Mus musculus: one gene and its partners. The protein of the gene in region 1 interacts with the protein of each later gene in a biochemical or structural test. Links are inferred from orthologs where the notes say so. Each region holds a gene or a part of one and is shown in the gene's direction. Other genes may lie near its edges. The genes, in order: Ap2m1, Ubc and Atg9a.

The links.
Region 2: the proteins of Ap2m1 (region 1) and Ubc form a complex in vitro, tested with the Homo sapiens proteins (2 studies listed by BioGRID). The link is inferred for Mus musculus from reciprocal best matches to the Homo sapiens genes AP2M1 and UBC.
Region 3: the proteins of Ap2m1 (region 1) and Atg9a interact in a biophysical measurement, tested with the Homo sapiens proteins (4 studies listed by BioGRID and IntAct, with this or other methods). The link is inferred for Mus musculus from reciprocal best matches to the Homo sapiens genes AP2M1 and ATG9A.

Annotation. Positions count from the first base shown.
Region 1 is NC_000082.6:20,536,449-20,544,173, forward strand, and holds part of Ap2m1 (AP-2 complex subunit mu), read left to right. Parts: intron 1-1,169; 5' UTR 1,170-1,212; coding exon 1,213-1,286; intron 1,287-2,859; coding exon 2,860-3,125; intron 3,126-3,884; coding exon 3,885-3,967; intron 3,968-4,359; coding exon 4,360-4,365; intron 4,366-4,526; coding exon 4,527-4,662; intron 4,663-4,761; coding exon 4,762-4,903; intron 4,904-5,298; coding exon 5,299-5,418; intron 5,419-5,507; coding exon 5,508-5,643; intron 5,644-5,748; coding exon 5,749-5,846; intron 5,847-6,190; coding exon 6,191-6,302; intron 6,303-6,862; coding exon 6,863-6,997; 3' UTR 6,998-7,725.
Region 2 is NC_000071.6:125,387,218-125,391,369, reverse strand, and holds the start of Ubc (polyubiquitin-C), read left to right. Parts: upstream 1-1,352; 5' UTR 1,353-1,460; intron 1,461-3,105; 5' UTR 3,106-3,108; coding exon 3,109-4,152.
Region 3 is NC_000067.6:75,180,177-75,187,936, reverse strand, and holds the end of Atg9a (autophagy-related protein 9A), read left to right. Parts: intron 1-110; coding exon 111-252; intron 253-750; exon of another isoform or gene 751-998; coding exon 999-1,747; intron 1,748-1,832; coding exon 1,833-1,986; intron 1,987-2,091; coding exon 2,092-2,271; intron 2,272-2,635; coding exon 2,636-2,884; intron 2,885-3,069; coding exon 3,070-3,248; intron 3,249-3,363; coding exon 3,364-3,481; intron 3,482-4,820; coding exon 4,821-5,043; intron 5,044-5,199; coding exon 5,200-5,345; intron 5,346-6,005; coding exon 6,006-6,011; coding exon of another isoform or gene 6,012-6,099; 3' UTR 6,100-7,076; downstream 7,077-7,760. UniProt on the Homo sapiens protein: Phospholipid scramblase involved in autophagy by mediating autophagosomal membrane expansion. Cycles between the preautophagosomal structure/phagophore assembly site (PAS) and the cytoplasmic vesicle pool and supplies membrane for the growing autophagosome.

The DNA of each region.
Region 1 (7,725 bases):
TGCATTTTCTTTCTCACCTTCTTTGGACTTGTCACTGGGCTTCAAGGGTTAACTTTTCAGTTTCAAAAAGTCTGTTAAACTAACCTCAGTGAAATTAATATCTGGACTAATCCAGAAATCTAGAACCAGATTAACCCCGTTACTCAAATATTCTACCTTAATTTTGACCAAAATAATTTGGGCAGTCGAGGCATTCTGTTATCCCTGCCCATTGCTTGGTAAACACCAGGCCAGAAGTGACTGACTTGGCAGATTTGGAGACACAATTTAGATGGCAGGATTAATGCTACTACATACAGACCTAATTTTTGTCACACTTAGAAATTTTGAAAAGACAGTAACCAGAAATAACTGTAAAAGGGGCTCAGCATTGAAGAGTTCTTACTGCTTTTCCAGAAAACCTGAGTTCAGGTCCCGGCACATGTCATTTGGCTCAGTACCACCCTAACTCAGGCTTGAGGGGTGGAGGGCAGTGTTCAGTCTAACACCTAGCTTCCACACATACAGCACACTGGCATGTACCTGTGTGTCGGTAAAAATGAAATCTTTTAAAGAACTTATTAAGCGGGCCTCTGTTCCTTTGTCTGCTTATCTCTCTGCCTGGGAAAGATGTGCCTGCTTCAGCCACCTTCCTGGCTCTGTGTTAGAGCCTAAGGGCCTCTTCCCTCCCAGCCCCACCTCACCCTGCACACCCTTTCCTGGAATGTGTAGACTTCTAGAGGGTCATGCTCCGTTGCCTTCTTGGAAGGGTAATGCTTGCTCTAAAGGTTATGCCTGGTGGCAGGCCCAGGCTCAAGCCAACTAGAGTAATCCCTCCCGCCACGCCATTCCTGCATCTGCAGGCAGGCCTTCTCTGTGACTCACTGGAAGCAGCAGGAGTGAGAGTGCACAGTAGGGGGCTGAGCTCGGCCTTGTGGTTACTTTCCTCAGCCCTCAGAAAAGGCTGGATAAAAATGGCCTAAATCCCCGGGCCTCACACTCTTAAAGTGCTGTCCCCTATCCAGTGTGGAAAAACAGGAACTGGAGCCTCGGGAGGGCTGCGGAGGACTTGGGAGTCACTTGCTAGAGGACTGAGTCAGGAAACAAGGCGGGCCTGTACAGCCCCATTGGCGTGGACGGGTTCTAAAGATTTCCCCTTTCCCTAATCCCCCCTCCCCTTTCCTACCTAGGTCTGTTCTCAGAGCAATGGGTCACAGAGACTGAGCTGCCACCATGATCGGAGGCTTATTCATCTATAATCACAAGGGGGAGGTGCTTATCTCCCGGGTCTACAGAGATGACATCGGGTAAGTCCCTTGACTGAGCATGCTGTGTTTCAACCTCCCTGTTGCCTCAGCCTGAGCATGCAATATAGCCTGGTTCCCATTGGGCACTGGCCTAGCTGCTAGGCTCCAGGCCTCGGAATGACACCTCCACCCCCTAGGGTTAGGAATCCCTGCCCTTCCTGCTCCCTGTGTCTTTGGGGTAGGTCTGGTGGCTGAAGACCAGGTGCTTTTGCCTGGTCTTCCTTTTAGAAGGGAGCACTCTCTCCAGTGGGTGTAGTTAGTGTGTGTGTGTGGAGATACTAATCCATCTAAATCTTGCTTTCAAATCCTTCTCATATTGAGAGCCTTCCCTAGATCCCCTTAAAACCTCTCTGTAGTCTGCTGACTCAGCTGTTTTCAGTTCTCCTGGGCCCTCCCTGGTTGTGAACCGGCTTACTGTGCTCTGCGGGTCATGCTGCCTTTGTAGCTCATCTGGGTGGAGCTGGACAGCTCCTAAGACCTCCTAAAGTCTCACTTCTCACTCTGCCTCACACTCTGGCTGCTTGCTAAGAGATCCTCCACTGTCTAGCCTGAGGCTAGGCTCTTCTGTTTCTTCCTGCCTTGGTTTTCTTTCTCAAAAGAGCTTGAGATAAATAGTCTCAGAATAGACCTATGGTAGCTCTCCTACCTTCTTGCCTCCCTGGCTAATGGGCTAGCTTGGTGTGGCTGTATCCATTTTTTGGTGGTAAAGCTAACCTAGACTTAGTTTGTGGCAGTGCCTAGCCTAAGTGAACCTGGCTGGTTCCACTCCTTCCTGCTACTCCCAGCCTGGATGGTCCTGGTTTATGCCACAGCTGGGCCACATGGCACCCTGCATGCCTTAGCGTGCTCTCTACCTGTTGCCTGTCTTGTCTGCTTCTCCCTCATGGTATGTGCTGCCCACCTTGGTGTGTTGTGTGTCGTCTAACCCTCTCTCTCCTTGCTGTCAATCTCCTCCTTGCTGACGTCATTTCTCTCATCCCATCTCATTGGCTGATGTAGCAATAGGTAAGCAGCCTGTGAAGCTGCCGCTCAGGTACAGGGGGTCCTGCCCCCCCAAATTGTTTTCCTTCATCATTTTTCATCCCCTTCAGAAGTCAGACCTTAGAAAAGAAGTGGGTGGCACAGTCTATAGCCCCTCTCACCCTTTAGAGTAGACTCTTCCAAGGTCATACTAGTTTTATTCAACTCCCTGAAGAGTTAGCTTTCCCCACTGATGGACCCAACAGAGATCTCTTTCTCTGCAGGCCTGGAACTTCCTGGAAAGCTAGAGTGGGGACAGCTGGGGTGTATCTGGGAAAGCAAGTCAGGCCCAGGAGTCAGTTTATTAACACTACAGGCACTCTTCCCGTTATTATCATTTGAGTTCCCCTTTAGGTAGCAAGCCAGTGCAGAACCTTCTCCCAGGACCCTGCAGGTGGTATAAGAAGGGAGCCCTAGTGGTTTAGGCCTTGACTTATGAATATATGTCAGATTTCAGTGGTGTGGAGGGTGGGGCAGCCAGCATCTGTAGGTGATCCTCAGGGGGTGAGGTCTGCCTAAATACTGAATTGCCTCTTTGCATCTTTTCCCTTAGGAGGAATGCTGTGGATGCCTTTCGGGTCAATGTCATTCATGCACGGCAGCAGGTGCGCAGCCCTGTCACAAACATCGCTCGCACCAGCTTCTTCCATGTTAAGCGGTCCAACATCTGGCTGGCCGCAGTCACCAAGCAGAATGTCAATGCTGCCATGGTCTTCGAATTCCTCTACAAGATGTGTGATGTAATGGCTGCTTACTTTGGCAAAATCAGCGAGGAGAACATCAAGAACAATTTTGTGCTCATATACGAGCTGCTGGATGGTGAGACATTGGAGGATTAAATGCCACTGTGGGGAGGGGCCTAACTGAGAGGGTCTTGTTTTAGAGTAGAATATGAAAATAGGCCAGCACGAAGTTTTAGTCTTTGCTGGGGCTAGGAACCTGACTGTGGGGTTTGGTGGCCAAGCCACCTGTATTAGCCTAAAATCTTCACAAACTGAACTCAACTCTTATCTCAACACTCCCTCAGAGCCTGGAGAAGAGGAAGTCCTGTAGGTCCCTTGGTTGTCCTCTTTCCTCTTGTAGTATCTGTGACGACTTCCCTTTCACCACCATCTGTTTTCTGGAGAAAAGGAGGGCTCAGGGTTTTTTTAATCCTCTTACCCACTCACTGACCATGTGACTCTTTCATGATTTTTCTTTTTTACATTTGAAGAAAAAAGTTGTATTTTCGTATGAAGAACAAATCCTAAGCTGAGTGCTCTAAGCTAGAAGACTTGGCTGTAGGTGATTCTGTACAGCACCAGGACCTGTTCTATGTTCTAGGCAGGGATATCCGGGCCAGAGGAGGGACTGGAAGGAAGGAATCTTTTGTTTTCTCCAGAAACTAGTAATTCCCTTCTTTTTTTGTTTTTTTGTTTTGTGTTATTGAAACAGGGTTTCTCTGTGTAGCCTTGCTGTACTAGAACGGGCTCTGTAGACCAGGCTGGCCTTGAACTCGGCCACCTGCCTCTGCCTCCTGATTTCTAGGATTAAAGGCATATACCTCACTGCCAGGCTGTAATTCCCTTCTTTTTACAGAGATTCTGGACTTTGGCTACCCACAGAACTCAGAGACAGGTGCACTGAAAACCTTCATCACCCAGCAGGGTATCAAGAGTCAGGTACTTGAGTTAATTGTATAGCACACAGGGTGGACCCCAAACTCCTTTCCTTCCTATTGATCCCTGGCCTTGTTCTAGCTGACTCATGAGCTTGCCCTTGACAGGAAGTGCTGGCCTCAGCCCTCCTACCATGACTGCAGGCCTTTTTTGCTCTGGGTAGCTAGCTCTCCTACCCCAGAAGCTGCCAACTCAGCATCTCTATTACCAGGAATACAGCTCAGTTGGTTTCTTCTACACGGGGGACAGGGGTGTGTCTGCTCTTCAGGCCTTGTGTTCCTCAGAAAAGCACGTGGGCTCTCCTCTCAGACTTGAGCCTTATCGCTTTCTCCCTTTGTTTGCTTACCATGCTGCTTCCTGTTGTGTTGGCCCCTTGCTGGCTCTGCGGCTTCTAGCATCAGGTAAGTTGTTCCCTCACTTCTCCCACTGCAGCTTCACTCTGTTCTGCAGATCCTGCCCTGTAAGGGTTGTGAGGAAGGAGGGAGAGTGACGTGATACAGTGGGCAGAGGGTAATGGGACGGGGAAAGGGATGAGGTCATTGGCCACCTTTATCCCATATAGACGAAGGAAGAACAGTCCCAGATCACCAGCCAGGTGACCGGGCAGATTGGCTGGCGGCGAGAAGGCATCAAGTATCGCCGGAATGAACTCTTCCTAGATGTTCTGGAGAGTGTGAACCTGCTTATGTCCCCACAGGGTAAGTGTCTTCTCATGATGAGACCGGGGATTGGGGGTGGGTAGGTCCTGGCCTGTCGGCGTGGCTCAGCTGCTCCCTGTTTCTCTGTTCTGTCACCAGGGCAGGTGCTGAGTGCCCATGTGTCAGGCCGGGTGGTGATGAAGAGTTACCTGAGTGGCATGCCTGAGTGCAAGTTTGGAATGAATGACAAGATTGTCATAGAAAAGCAGGGCAAAGGCACAGCTGATGAAACAAGCAAGAGGTACCGGTGTCTGGGAGCTCAAGGGACACAAGGATGAGCAAGCCTTTGAGAATCCAGTGAGGCCTAGTGAACCCAGATTCCCTTTGGAGTTCATTTCTGGAATTGTTAACTGTCTTTCCAAGTCATCCTTGGCCAGTTAGTCTTGTGATTGACGATAAGGCATGGAGGGACTGTCTTTGTCCTTGGAGAGCACGCTTTTTTTGTTTGATCCCCAGCAACAAAGTTCTCAGGTGATAAGGAACCCAGAGGCTCTCCCACACCTCAAACTGCAGGGCAGGGATTTCCAAGTCAGAAAGCTGTGTTCTGGAAGCTTCCCATAATCTGTGTGGCTAGCCTGCTCTGGCATGGTCTGTTAATCTGACATGTACCTATTTGAGCTCTGCTTCCGTTTACAGTGGTAAGCAGTCGATCGCCATTGATGACTGCACCTTCCACCAGTGTGTGCGACTCAGCAAGTTTGACTCTGAGCGGAGCATCAGCTTCATCCCTCCCGACGGAGAGTTTGAACTCATGAGGTGCCATGGGGGTGTGGAGGAGGCAGGGGGTGCATCTGGAAGAGAGTAGGGCTGGCCCTGTGCTATCACATGTGTTCTCTCCTCCAAAGATACCGTACTACCAAGGACATCATCCTTCCTTTCCGGGTGATCCCATTGGTGCGGGAGGTGGGGCGCACCAAACTGGAGGTCAAGGTGGTCATCAAGTCCAACTTCAAGCCCTCACTTCTGGCCCAGAAGATTGAGGTGAGGACTGGAGACTTGGAGAGTGAAACACCTATCTCGGGGAAGAAAAGGCAGATAGATGATCCAGGTCTCCCCAGAGCTCACTGACGGGTGTGTCACTCCTAGGTGAGGATCCCGACTCCATTGAACACAAGCGGGGTACAGGTGATCTGCATGAAGGGGAAGGCCAAGTACAAGGCCAGCGAGAACGCCATTGTATGGAAGTGAGTCTTCAGGAGGCCACAGGCAGGCTCAAGGCGTCATAGTGTACCTTCCGGTTAAGTTTGACCTGTCCTCTGTGTGGGTTATAGGGTGAGAAAAGAGTGCATGCTTGTCCAGGAGCCTGTGTGTGTGTGTGTGTGTTTGTGTGTGTGTGTGTGTGTGTGTGTGTGTGCTCCATCTCTCATGCACTTGAGGAGCACGTGTGTCTAGTTTTCAAGATATTCCCGTTGGCCCTTGTCGACTTGTGTCTAAAGCGTACAGTCTGGGTGAGGGAGAAACTGCAGCTCCGGGTACTGAAGGAGTAACTACTGCAGCCTCCTGCTGCCCATTCCCTCTGTGTTCCTAGGATCAAGCGCATGGCAGGCATGAAGGAATCCCAGATCAGCGCAGAGATTGAGCTCCTGCCCACCAACGATAAGAAGAAATGGGCTCGGCCCCCCATTTCCATGAACTTTGAGGTAGGCAGAGGAGGGGTATAGCGCAATGGCTGGGTGTGATGGGAGACTCTCTGATCATTTTGATTAGACTCTACTTCTTAGGAATAAGAGAACTGGGCCTAGGTTGGGAAATGTCTTGAATTGATAGACCCATCCCCTTTTAATAGAAATTGGTGTTTAAACTGACCAAAAGCTTTTGACTATTTGATTTGTCACAAAATAGTTTTTGAGAAACATTTGCTTTGTGTGAATAAGACACATCATTTTCTCCACTTTATTTTCAAGTCCACAGCATTGGCAGGGATAAGTATGTTCAGTGGTAGTTCTCTGGGATAAGTAGTTCAGAGATAGTGCTCTGGCAACCTAAGGATTAGAGCAATAGTTTTATCCTCACAACTGGGCTCAGCTTCAGATGTGTCCTGATTCCTAGTAACTCTCTTCACGTGGTAGTCTCCTAGTGAATTCCCTCCACACCAGTCATTCAAGAACACCTGTGGTAGATAGGGTGGGTGAACCATGGAATTTGCCAGAGTACTGTGATAGAAGGGCCATATTCCTAACTGGAGCTGTCCTCTGCTCAGGTGCCATTCGCGCCTTCTGGCCTCAAGGTGCGCTACTTGAAGGTATTCGAACCGAAGCTGAACTACAGCGACCATGATGTCATCAAATGGGTGCGATACATTGGCCGCAGTGGCATTTATGAAACCCGCTGCTAGCTGCCTAGTTGCAGCTGGCCCACCTCCCTACCCACCCTTCCCACAGGTCCAAGTACCCCTAGTGACCACTCACCAGTGTCGTTCCTCCGTCCTGCTCTGCTGCCTTTCCTTTCCAATAGCCCCTGAGTATAAGTCTGAACCAGCCACACCACAGTGGAACTGGTCAGGTAGTGCCTGGCTTCCTGGGAGGGTGGTTTTTGAGGCTTCTCTTCCGTCTGTCTGTCCTGGCTTAGCGCCAGGCCCTGAGTTTTGTGACCAAAGCCAGGTGCTCTCCTCTTCTCTCTACCCCTGTGGCCACACCTCTGCAGTGGGAAGGTTGACTACCCCTCACCTCAGAGCTTCCCCAAAGGCCAGTAACAGATCCCCAGTCTTTAGTCCCCACTCTGCTTTGGGATAGTATGAGCTTCGTTTTGTACACGTGTGACTTTGTCCAGTTACAAACCCAATAAACAATAGAGTGGAGTTGCTGGCTAAATGTTAATGGGGCCCGCAGAGGGTCTGACGGGACTATTATTACTCCATGCAGTTCTGGCTGTCCTGGAACCTGTGTGTAGGCTCAGGAGATCTACTTCCTGAGTGCTGAGATTAAAGTGTACACCACCATGCCAGACTTTGTTTTGTTTGGGTCTTGCTGCTTGTAGCTCTGGCTGACCTAGAAATCACTATGTAGACCAGACTGCCCGTAAATTTTAGGTGATCCCTGTGCCTCTGCTTCTCAAGTGCTGATA
Region 2 (4,152 bases), on another chromosome or scaffold:
GCTACATATAGGAACCCTGTCTCAAAAAAACTCAAAAAATGCTGAGATTAAAGGCATTTAATAGTGTGTGTCCATCTAAGTGTGTGCCACATGTATGTGAAAGTGTCCCTAGGGACATTGGACCCTCCTGAAGCTGGAGTCACAAGCTAGCTGCCTGACAGGGTTGCTGGGTATTGAATTCATGTACTCTGGAAAAAGACCTGTTCCTACTGGGGAGCCATCTCTCCCCATCAGGGATTCAATTCTTACCTTCTAAGGTCTTAGGCCTTACATTTCAAAAACCTGAGCTGGGCAGTGGTGGCGCAGGCCTTTAATCCCAGCACTTTGGAGGCAGAGGCAGGTGGATTTCTGAGTTCGGGGCCAGCCTGGTCTACAAAGTGAGTTCCAGGACAGTCAGGGCTACACAGAGAAACCCTGTCTCAAAAAACCAAAAAAAAAAAAACAAAACAAAACAAAACAAAAAAAACCCTGAATAATTTGATTCGTATAAGTGGGATATATGCTTGCTGTAATCTGAACATTGTACTACACGTGCACATTTGTGCTTTTTTGTTTTTGTGGGGGTTTTTTGTTTGGTTTTTGGTTTTTCAAGTCAAGTGTAGCCCTGGCCATTCTGGAACTTGATCTGTAGACCATACTTGGGAGGCAGAGGCAGGAGGACCTATATAAACTTGAGACCAGCCTGGTCTACATAGCATATTCCAGGACAGGCAGGGCTACACAGAGAAACCCCCATCTGAACAACAAAAATTTAAAAATCAGGGCTTCAGTGGGTTCAGTCTCAGAATATGAACAACAAATATGAACAACATTTGGAAATTTTGACCTTTACTTAGTGACAAGCACATAGAAAACATAGAACCTTCTCGAATCCAAGGACACAAGGTTTAGGAAAAATCTGGAAAGATCAGGTTCTGCTGGGCTTCAGATCTAATGCCAACAGTTTTCAAGAACTGTGTAGACTGTCTGCTTTCCTTGACAAACTCAGATTCGTTTTTCCAAATCGGGGAGAGATTCCCTCCTTCGTATTTTTTTTTTTTAAATTTATTAAAAACCCTTTGTCATTTTCCTTGTTAGGAGATTTGCACAGTCATCCACCCTGTCACTGTGCCAAAACAGTGAGGGCTGGGCATAGTGACCCGCCGGGGATGAGGGGATTGAGGAGGCGAGGTCACCAATGGGATCCCAGTGTGACAGGAGCCAAAGCCCTGGGTCCCCCTAGCGCGGAAAGAAAACAGGGGGGGTGGGGGGTGGTGGCCTGACTAGGGGCGCCAGGCCGCGAAGCCGCAGGGCGCCTGCGCCAAGGCCCGCTCCGGCCTCAGTGATCCCAGCCGTGTTTTCGTGCCGATCGTCTCACGCGCGCTGATCCCTCCGCGGAGTCGCCCGAGGTCACAGCCCTGCCCTCCCACACAAAGCCCCTCAATCTCTGGACGCCACCGTGAAACAACTCCGTGAGAGAGGTACCTTGATAGTTTTAGCCTGTCGCTTTCGCTGCCGAGACTGGACCCGGCGTTACAAAGTAGTCCCTGACCGCATTGCCCGCGGAGGGACCGCGCGGAAGGGGGGGGGCGGGGCTTCGGTGACTATATAAAGAGACGCCGGGCGTGCCGCAGCTAGTTCCGTGGAGACTGCGAGTTCCGTCTGCTGTGTGAGGACTGCCGCCACCACCGCTGGTGAGGAGAAAGCCGCCGCACCCGGTCGGGGACGGGAGGCTGGAGGCGAGACGGGGCGAGAGGCAGCCCCGCGGCCCAGACGTTTGGTTTCCGTGGCCCGCGCGGACCGCGGCTGCCCCGAGGCAGAGGACTGGGCGGCAAGATGGCGGCCAGATGGAAGCCTGAGGGGGAAGACGCGGGGCTCTGACGCGCAGGACGAGGTTGGGGGAGGAAAAAGGCCCGCGAGGCCGCTGCCCTCCGGTTAAGCCGGGGACGTCGGAGACTGTGGGGTGGGGACTGAATTAGGGTTGCGCGCCGTAGGAGCCTCTGCTGTGAGAGCCGTGGATATTGGGCTGGCCCGAGAGGTCGATTGGCCCGGCGTTCGTCCGTTCGTTTGCTGAAAGACGGAAGTGCGATCGAGACCGGAAGGGGGTTGGGCGGCGGTTCAGCCTGCCTGGCCTGCCGCCCCCTGTGACGTCGCGGGTTGCGTGGCCTCCTAATGGATAGTGACGTCACTATCTTGACTTTAGCTTTCCCTCGGTTGTAGGACAGGGTTTGGGTCTCGGCCTCCGGTAGCCTCTCCAGAGTAAACAGGAACCGGAAATTCAGAGGGGAAATGTGAGCCATTCTTGTCCTGTTTCGTTTTAAGAATGTCGCTGTACAACTATGACTACTGAAACTTTTGGGGGGGGGGTTCGAGACGGTTTCTCTATGTAGTCCTGGCTGTCCCGCATCTCACTCTGTAGATCAGGCTGGCCTCGAACCCAGAAATCCTCCTGCCTCTGCCTCCCAAGTGTTGGGACGAAAGGCACCACCATTGTCCTGCGACAAGGGTGTTTTTTTTTAAACTGTCAAAATCTCTGCCTCTACCACCCCATGTGATGAGGTCCAAGGCCAGTACCACCACTCCAGACTAATTTTAATCGTTCAGACAAAAGTTTGGTGTTCTTTTGGGGGAAGGAGAGTTGAGGCAGGATTACACTGTCTCTGGCTGACCTTCCAGTTAGAGATCTGCCCACCTCAGTGTCCCCAGTGCTGAGGTCAGCGATAGGCATGGGCTCAGACTTAGTTTTGCAGTAGTAACTTGCTATATTACCATTCTGAAACTGAATCCGGGACTGCTGTGGTTTCATAACCTCCCAGAGGTCAGGCTTTTCTGCAAACTGTTCAAATAGACAGAAATTGACTTTCAGCTGTTGGTATACTGAAGTCTCCATCCTGTAAATTTGGTAATACAAAAAGACTCACCATGCCGAGGTTTCTTAACTTTGTTAGTCAACAATCTTATTTTCTTGATGGTTTTTCGGGGTGGGGGGATTGGATTCAAGACAGAATCTGTGTAGATAGACCTTGCTATTTAGACTTATAGCATCCAGTTGACAAATGTTGATGCCATCCCACAAATATTTGTGTCATTCCTGACCTGTGAATTGTTTTGTATATTTTGTGACAGACGATGCAGATCTTTGTGAAAACCTTAACTGGTAAGACCATCACCCTGGAGGTCGAGCCCAGTGACACCATTGAGAATGTCAAGGCAAAGATCCAGGACAAGGAGGGCATCCCCCCTGACCAGCAGAGGCTGATCTTTGCAGGCAAGCAGCTGGAAGATGGCCGCACCCTGTCAGACTACAACATCCAGAAAGAGTCCACCCTGCACCTGGTCCTTCGCCTCAGAGGTGGCATGCAGATCTTTGTGAAGACCCTGACAGGCAAGACCATCACCCTGGAGGTCGAGCCCAGTGACACCATAGAGAATGTCAAGGCAAAGATCCAGGACAAGGAGGGCATCCCCCCTGACCAGCAGAGGCTGATCTTTGCAGGCAAGCAGCTGGAAGATGGCCGCACCCTGTCAGACTACAACATCCAGAAAGAGTCCACCCTGCACCTGGTCCTTCGCCTCAGAGGTGGGATGCAGATCTTTGTGAAGACCCTGACAGGCAAGACCATCACCCTGGAGGTCGAGCCCAGTGACACCATAGAGAATGTCAAGGCAAAGATCCAGGACAAGGAGGGCATCCCCCCTGACCAGCAGAGGCTGATCTTTGCAGGCAAGCAGCTGGAAGATGGCCGCACCCTGTCAGACTACAACATCCAGAAAGAGTCCACCCTGCACCTGGTCCTTCGCCTCAGAGGTGGCATGCAGATCTTTGTGAAGACCCTGACAGGCAAGACCATCACCCTGGAGGTCGAGCCCAGTGACACCATTGAGAATGTCAAGGCAAAGATCCAGGACAAGGAGGGCATCCCCCCTGACCAGCAGAGGCTGATCTTTGCAGGCAAGCAGCTGGAAGATGGCCGCACCCTGTCAGACTACAACATCCAGAAAGAGTCCACCCTGCACTTAGTCCTTCGCCTCAGAGGTGGGATGCAGATCTTTGTGAAGACCCTGACAGGCAAAACCATCACCCTGGAGGTCGAGCCCAGTGACACCATTGAGAATGTCAAGGCAAAGATCCAGGACAAGGAGGGCATCCCCCCTGACCAGCAGAGGCTGATC
Region 3 (7,760 bases), on another chromosome or scaffold:
GGTCCTGAGGAGAGAGGAGAGTGGGGTATGAAGCAGCAATCCATACTCTAGAACGTGTTGCTAAGACTCCATCCTCAGGGACCCTACTTTATCTCCTTTTTCCATACCAGGATTCAGGAAAATGGCTCTCTTATCACCATCCTGGTCATTGCTGGTGTCTTCTGGATCCACCGGCTTATCAAGTTTATCTATAACATTTGCTGCTATTGGGAGATCCACTCCTTCTACCTACATGCTCTTCGGATCCCAATGGTAAGACCAGAAGTTGAACCATTAGCAACACAGCCCAAGCAATCCTAGAAGGATGATATGTATTCCTGAGCATCACATGTCTATAGCTCTCATTGGCAGGTATGATAGTCAGAGTTCTGTTAATATGCAAAAAAAAAAATCTGAGATGATCAGCATATTTAAAGAGAAAGGATTTTCACAGTTTTGGAGATCCAAGCCTATAATTGGTTGATAATATTGGTTGATCTGGTTGCTTAGGGGCCTGTGGTGAGGAAGTACATCACAGTAAGAGCATACAACAAAGGAAGTCTGTTCACTTCATGGCCACCAGGAAGTGGAGGAAGGCAGGAAGGGGTGGGATCCAAAGCCCCAATTAATCTCATCTAAGAGCAGCCCCTTATTGGCAAAGGACCAAGCCCTTAACACATGGGCTTTTGAGCTGCATCCCAGATCTGAACTGGAACAGCAGGTCAGGAAATATCTTTGCTATTATTAATTTTTTTTTTTTTTTTGAGACAGGGTTTCTCAGTGTAGCCCTGGCTGTCCTGGAACTCACTCTGTAGCCTGGCCTCAAACTCAGAAATCTGCCTGCATTTGCCTCCCAAGTGATGGGATTAAAGGCGTGCGCCATCACTGCCCGCAGGAAGTATCTTTAAGCATACGACTTATATCTGTGTAGGCAAAGTCCTACATCTGTGTTGAACAAAGGGTTTAGCTATACTTTATACATCTCCTATACTTGTCTCTTGTCCACCCTATCCTGGCAGTCTGCCCTTCCATACTGCACATGGCAGGAAGTTCAGGCCCGGATTGTGCAGACGCAGAAAGAGCATCAGATCTGCATCCACAAGCGTGAGCTGACAGAGTTGGACATCTACCATCGCATCCTACGTTTCCAGAACTACATGGTGGCCCTGGTGAACAAATCCCTCCTGCCTCTGCGCTTCCGTCTGCCCGGCCTCGGAGAGGTTGTCTTCTTCACCCGTGGCCTCAAGTACAACTTTGAGCTCATCCTCTTCTGGGGACCCGGCTCTCTGTTTCTCAATGAGTGGAGCCTCAAGGCCGAGTACAAACGTGGAGGGCAACGGCTAGAGCTGGCCCAGCGTCTCAGCAACCGCATCTTGTGGATTGGCATCGCCAACTTCCTGCTGTGTCCCCTCATCCTCATCTGGCAGATCCTCTATGCCTTCTTCAGCTATGCCGAGGTGCTGAAGAGAGAGCCGGGGGCCCTGGGAGCGCGTTGCTGGTCACTCTATGGCCGTTGTTACCTCCGCCACTTCAATGAGCTGGAGCATGAGCTGCAGTCCCGCCTCAACCGAGGCTACAAGCCCGCCTCCAAGTACATGAATTGCTTCTTGTCACCGCTGCTGACTCTGCTGGCCAAGAATGGTGCCTTCTTCGCTGGCTCTATCCTGGCTGTGCTTATTGCCCTCACCATCTATGATGAAGATGTGTTAGCTGTGGAACACGTCCTCACCACGGTCACCCTCCTGGGAGTCACGGTGACTGTGTGCAGGTGTGCCAGGGCGGCGGGTGGGAATAGCAGAGTGGCATTCTGGGAAAGGCTTCTTTCTGTCTCACCATGCGCCCAATCCCACTAGGTCCTTCATCCCAGACCAGCACATGGTGTTCTGCCCCGAGCAGCTGCTCCGAGTGATTCTTGCACACATCCACTACATGCCTGACCACTGGCAGGGTAATGCCCACCGCTCGCAGACCCGGGACGAGTTTGCCCAGCTCTTCCAGTACAAGGCAGTGAGTGGAGCTGGAGTTAGGGCCTGCTAGAGACTGGCTGGTATCTTGGTGATACGGGCTGGGCTGTGTCCTGCTTGCGGGTAACCTCGGCCCCCTCCCTCTTAGGTGTTCATCTTGGAGGAGTTGCTGAGTCCCATCGTCACACCCCTCATTCTCATCTTCTGCCTCCGCCCTCGGGCCCTGGAGATCATAGACTTCTTCCGCAACTTTACGGTCGAGGTCGTGGGTGTGGGAGACACCTGCTCCTTTGCTCAGATGGACGTTCGCCAGCATGGCCATCCTCAGGTACTGGGAGAGGGCAGGGCAGATGGCCAGGGACAATGCTGGCACACAGTAACCTTGGGAAAACTGCAAAAAGCTGCCCTTTCCAAGCCAACAAACACAAAAAGGGTAGCCCCACTTGTGGGCATCCCTGCACCAGAGACACTGTTTAGTCACCAGGAATCTGACTGGATTCCAGCCCTGATTTGAACCATCAGTCACACTCCTTTGAGAAAAAAGTACAGTTCAAGTGACTGACCCAGTATGTGGCCACTCCTGGGGTGGGCATCAGGGCTTTGACAGATATGACAATGCCCTGCTATCACTGTCCTGCCGGAAGGGCTGCTGTGAGTGCTCGGGCCTGATCCCTGTCATCTCCCTTGCATAGTGGCTGTCTGGAGGGCAGACAGAGGCCTCAGTGTACCAGCAAGCCGAGGACGGGAAGACCGAGTTGTCGCTCATGCACTTTGCCATCACCAATCCCGGCTGGCAGCCCCCTCGTGAGAGCACAGCTTTCCTGGGCTTCCTCAAGGAGCAGGTGCAGCGAGATGGAGCAGCTGCTGGCCTGGCCCAGGGTGGCCTGCTCCCCGAGAATGCCCTCTTCACATCCATCCAGTCCTTACAGTCTGAGTCCGAGGTGTGGCTCTGGGGCCTGGGGGATGGTGGGCAGTGGACTGCAGTGTGGGGAACGGCATGGGACACAGGGTGCCAGGTTTCCTCCCTTCAGTCTGAGCGGTTGGGTCCTGAGGGTCAGGACATTGGAGGACCTAGAGGCCTCCCCTGCCCTGAGACTTCTGCTTACCCCATTTTTTCCTCCTACAGCCACTGAGCCTTATTGCAAATGTGGTAGCAGGCTCATCCTGCCGAGGACCCTCACTGTCCAGAGACCTGCAGGGCTCCAGGCACAGGGCTGATGTTGCTTCTGCCCTTCGATCCTTCTCCCCTCTGCAGCCTGGAGCGGCCCCTCAAGGCCGGGTTCCCAGTACCATGACAGGCTCTGGGTGAGTGAGTGAGTGGACGTGGGTCAGCGTGGGAGGGCGTGGCAGGAGCCCACAAAACCTGGTCTAGATCTTGCAAATGTTGATGCCTGCTGTCTGTCTGTGCTGGGAGGGACAGAGTGGATGCCAGGACAGCCAGCTCTGGGAGTAGCGTGTGGGAAGGACAGCTGCAGAGCCTGGTGCTGTCCGAATACGCGTCCACCGAGATGAGCCTGCACGCCCTGTACATGCACCAGGTGAGTGCAGCCGAGGGGCGGGTGTCAGCCCTTCTCTGCCTCTGTGGTTCCACAGAACTCCTTTACTCAGGAGCTGGGGTTAAGACAGGGCTTCTCTGTGTAGCCCTGGCTATTTCTGGAACTCACTCTGTAGACCAGGCTGGCCTTGAACTTACAGAGATCCACCTGCCTCTGCCCCCTGAGTGCTGGAATTAAAGACACACATCACCTTACCGGGCCGTCACATATGTCCTCTTAGTGGCATCTTTAGCCAAGAGTACTCCCATGTTCCCTACTTTTTTCTCCTCCTCCTGCTCTCTCCAAGACTCAGTAAAATCTCCTGTCTCCACTCTCCTGAATTTATTTTTTTCCAGTACTGAGGATTGAGCAGATAAGGCCTTGGGCATGTTAGGTAAGCCCTAAGTTATCTCCACAGCCTTCCTTTGCTTATTATTCTGAGAACTATTTTCACTTAGTTACCTAGGCTGACCTTGAACTTACTGTGTAGCCAGGCTGGGTTTGAACATGTGATCCCACTTCCAAACAGCTGGGGTTGCAGGCATGTGCCTCCAGATCCAGCCCTGCCTCAGACCTTGACCCTTCCCTTCCTTTCCCTTCTCCTCTCCTTTCTCCCTCCCTTTCTTCCCCACCCACCTTGGCTTTTTAAAACAGAGTCTGACTCTTGACTATGTAAGCCAGGCTGGCCTCAGTCCTGCTACCTCATGTTTCAGTGTCACACACAGCTGCCTACTGACTTTTCTTGTTCTGTTTTTATCCATAGCATCTGGTGCTATCTGACATTTTGGGGCTTTGTCTTCATTTAATAGTTTATGGTCTATTTTTCCTTACAACCACCACCACTAGTGTAAAAGCCTCACAAAGACTGGCAATTCTATTTGTTCATTGCTGTGTTCTGAGTACCTAAAATAATACCCGGCACCGAGACCCTCTGTTAACTTGTTCTTTGATTCAAGGAGTGGGTAAAATGAGGGCCAGAGATGTAGGTCACTTAGTAGACTGCTTGCCCTGTATGTACAGGACCCTGGGGTCCATTCCCAGAACTACCTAAACATCTGTAATCCCAGGGGAGATGAAGTCAGATCAGAAATTCAAGGTCATTCTCAACTACCCATTGAGTTCAGGGTCAGCCTGAGCTACTCGGAAGCTTTTCCAGGGGTCTCCTGAGAATGAGATCCATAGAGCAGCACACAGCTAATGTACACTACTAACATCTGAGATGCAGTGAGTCTAGGTTCCTAGGTGAGGGTTTGTGAGTGGGAATTGAAGATGCTTCAGTGGTCGCAGCTGTTTCAGACAGACATCCTTCTGCCCCCGACTAATCAGCCCCCCACTTCTCCAGCTCCACAAGCAGCAGACCCAGGCTGAGCCCGAGCGGCATGTGTGGCACCGCCGGGAGAGTGATGAGAGTGGAGAGAGTGCCCCTGAAGAGGGGGGAGAGGGTGCCCGGGCCCCCCAACCCATCCCCCGCTCGGCCAGCTATCCCTGTGCTACACCCCGGCCTGGAGCACCTGAGACCACCGCCCTGCATGGGGGCTTCCAGAGGCGCTACGGGGGCATCACAGGTATCCAGCTGGGAACACAGTAGCAAACAGGTTTCGGGGAAGGACGGTTCTCTCTAAGACGCAAGAGACCATCAGGATGGGGTGCAAGGAGACTAAGCCTCCAAGTGGTCCTCAGAACCTTCCCACTGTGCCTTGTGTTCTTGTTTCTCTCTGTAGATCCTGGCACAGTGCCCCGTGGCCCCTCTCACTTCTCCAGGCTGCCCCTGGGAGGATGGGCAGAAGATGGCCAGCCAGCATCAAGGCACCCAGAGCCGGTGCCAGAGGAGGGCTCAGAGGATGAACTCCCCCCTCAAGTGCACAAGGTAAAGGCTGTGAGGCCAAGAACCACTGCCAGAAGTGGTGACTTCCAGTGAAGACCAGCTCCTCCTGTGAAGGAGCGTGTCTCCCACTCCTCCATGCTCTTGTCTACTCTCCAGACGGCTGGAGGGATGGCTCAGTGCCTAAGAACACTGGGGGCTCTTCCAGAGGACCCAGGTTCGTTTTCCAGCACCCACACAGTGGCTCACCACCGTCTGTAACCCCAGCCCCAGGGGGTCAGATGCCATCTTCTGGTCTTCAAAAGTACTGCACACACACATGATTCAGACTTTTTTTTTTTTTTTTTTTTTTTTTTGGTTTATCTAGACAGTGTTTCTCTGTGTAGCCCTGGCTGTCCTGGAACTCACTTTGTAGACCAGGCTGGCCTTGAACTCAGAAATCCACCTGCTTCTGCCTACTGAGGGCTGGGATTAAAGGCGTGAGCCACCACAGCCGGCTGATTCAGACTTCGATGCAGACAAAACACTCATGCACAAATACATTTTTGAAAAGCAAAAAACCCACTTTCTTCTTTTTACTGCTCTGAAGTTCAAGACTTAACTTCCCTAGCTTCCAGCGTTTTCTTTCCTTTATTTCTAGATTCCTCTGGGGCAAGACGATAGCTGAAGACTATCTGTACTACCGGTCTTTCCTTTCCTCCACAGGTATAGGCAAGGCGGTAGCTGGTTCCCATGCTCCAGGATGGAGGTGGCAGCTGCCCTGCCATCCCTTCTGTCTGCCATGAGAGGGACTCTCTGAGTGTCGCCTGGCCCCACGTGTGGTGTTTTGTGTGTTCCTGCCTGGCCAAGGGAGGTGCCAATGCTGGGCTTACCATAGTCCAGGAAGAATATGAGGACTAGGGGCACACAAGAGTCTAGCTTCGTCTCCAGGACTCCCTTGGCTCAGAGTGTGGTGCTAGAAACTGGTCCCCAGCCCAGTCCCAGTACTGCCATCTTTGCATCCACCCCTGCAAGTCTCCAGAGGGCTTCCTGCCACAGAAGTGCTGCCAAGCAGAAGAACCTGTGCCAACTGTGGAGTGGGGAGGCAGGGCCTGAACCCTCAATCCCTGCAGCCTAGCCTCCCCACCCTCCAGAACCTGGAATAGCTGAGCAGCTCAGGCTGTGGCCCTTACCTCCAGTCCTCACCTCAACCTGCGCTGCAGCCTCCCTCCCCCCTGCACATCACTGGCATGTGTGCTGCTTGACCACCCCCCCTTCTGTTCACCTGCCCCCCTTCTGTTTGGCTTTGGCTTTTTGTTGGGGTGAGAGCCCTAGCTCCCAGCTCCCCTCACTATCTTTTGACACTAAGATGGAAGGTTACTAAGTTGCAGGAACAGGATGAAAATTCTTTATTACCCTCTTCAACTTTTAGGACGAGCACTTGGGAGTGTGAGGCCTTCCTGGCTGCTTCTATGTAGTCCTACCACCTGCACAGAGGGGCTGGCAGGGCAGAAGTGTGACCTCAGTTATATATACATCCCAGCTCTGCCCAGTATCCCTCACTTACCAAGAGGAGAATGGAGGGATAATGGACTCACCCTAGCCTAGGGCTTCGACATTGCATGCTGGGATCCAGCTCCTACCCTTCCTGCACTCCCTTCCCCAGTTCTGCTCAGCTCAGCTGTGGGAGGTAAACTTAAGCTGAAGGTGGCGGACTCTACTGTCGCAGGCCACAGCAGACAGGGTGGGAGCCCTGTACAGCTTGATAACCCTTAATAAAGAAGGGACTTTGATCTGGTTGTGGCATCTTTTTTTTTCCCCCACGCAGCAGTTTGGGGGGGGGGGGGGGGGTCTTAGGACTGTAAAAGAGTCCTGGCCGGGAGGCTTGGGAAACAAGTACGCCTGCAGGACCACGGGAACAGAACTAGGACTCAGAGAAGAGCTGTTTCTAGTGTGCTTCAGTAGCTTGATAATGTGTGAAGCCCTGAGTTCGTTCTTTAGCACTATAATAGAGGGAACTGAAGCAGGTTAGAGACCAGGGAGGCCTCGGTGTAATGCCTTTATAAAGGGCGGGGGTGGAGGGTGGGGAGTGCAAATTCGGACGCACTACTCTGTGGAGGTCAAAGTCTCCAGTCAGATTCAGGTTAGAGTTCCCGCCTTGGACATGTGACCCAGTCGGTTCTCAGCCCTATTTGTGTTCCTTACCCTTGGCCAATGGGAACCCTGGATAGATCTGGTGGGCGGGGCCGCTGCCGTAAAGGACCCAACATTTTTGTGCGGCGGCTCCGAGCCTTAGGGTCCCAGCTGCTAGCGAGTGGGAACCGGCAAGCACGGCGTACGTGGCTTGCGTGAGTATGCGTGGTAGCGGCGCGTGCGTGAAGAGAGTGGGCAGTGTAGCAGGTCCACGTGCGTCCCTTCCCGCGACCCAAGCGGCGTAGCTCCATGTCCCAGGACACCCTGGCATCTGCGGCCCTCTCTGAA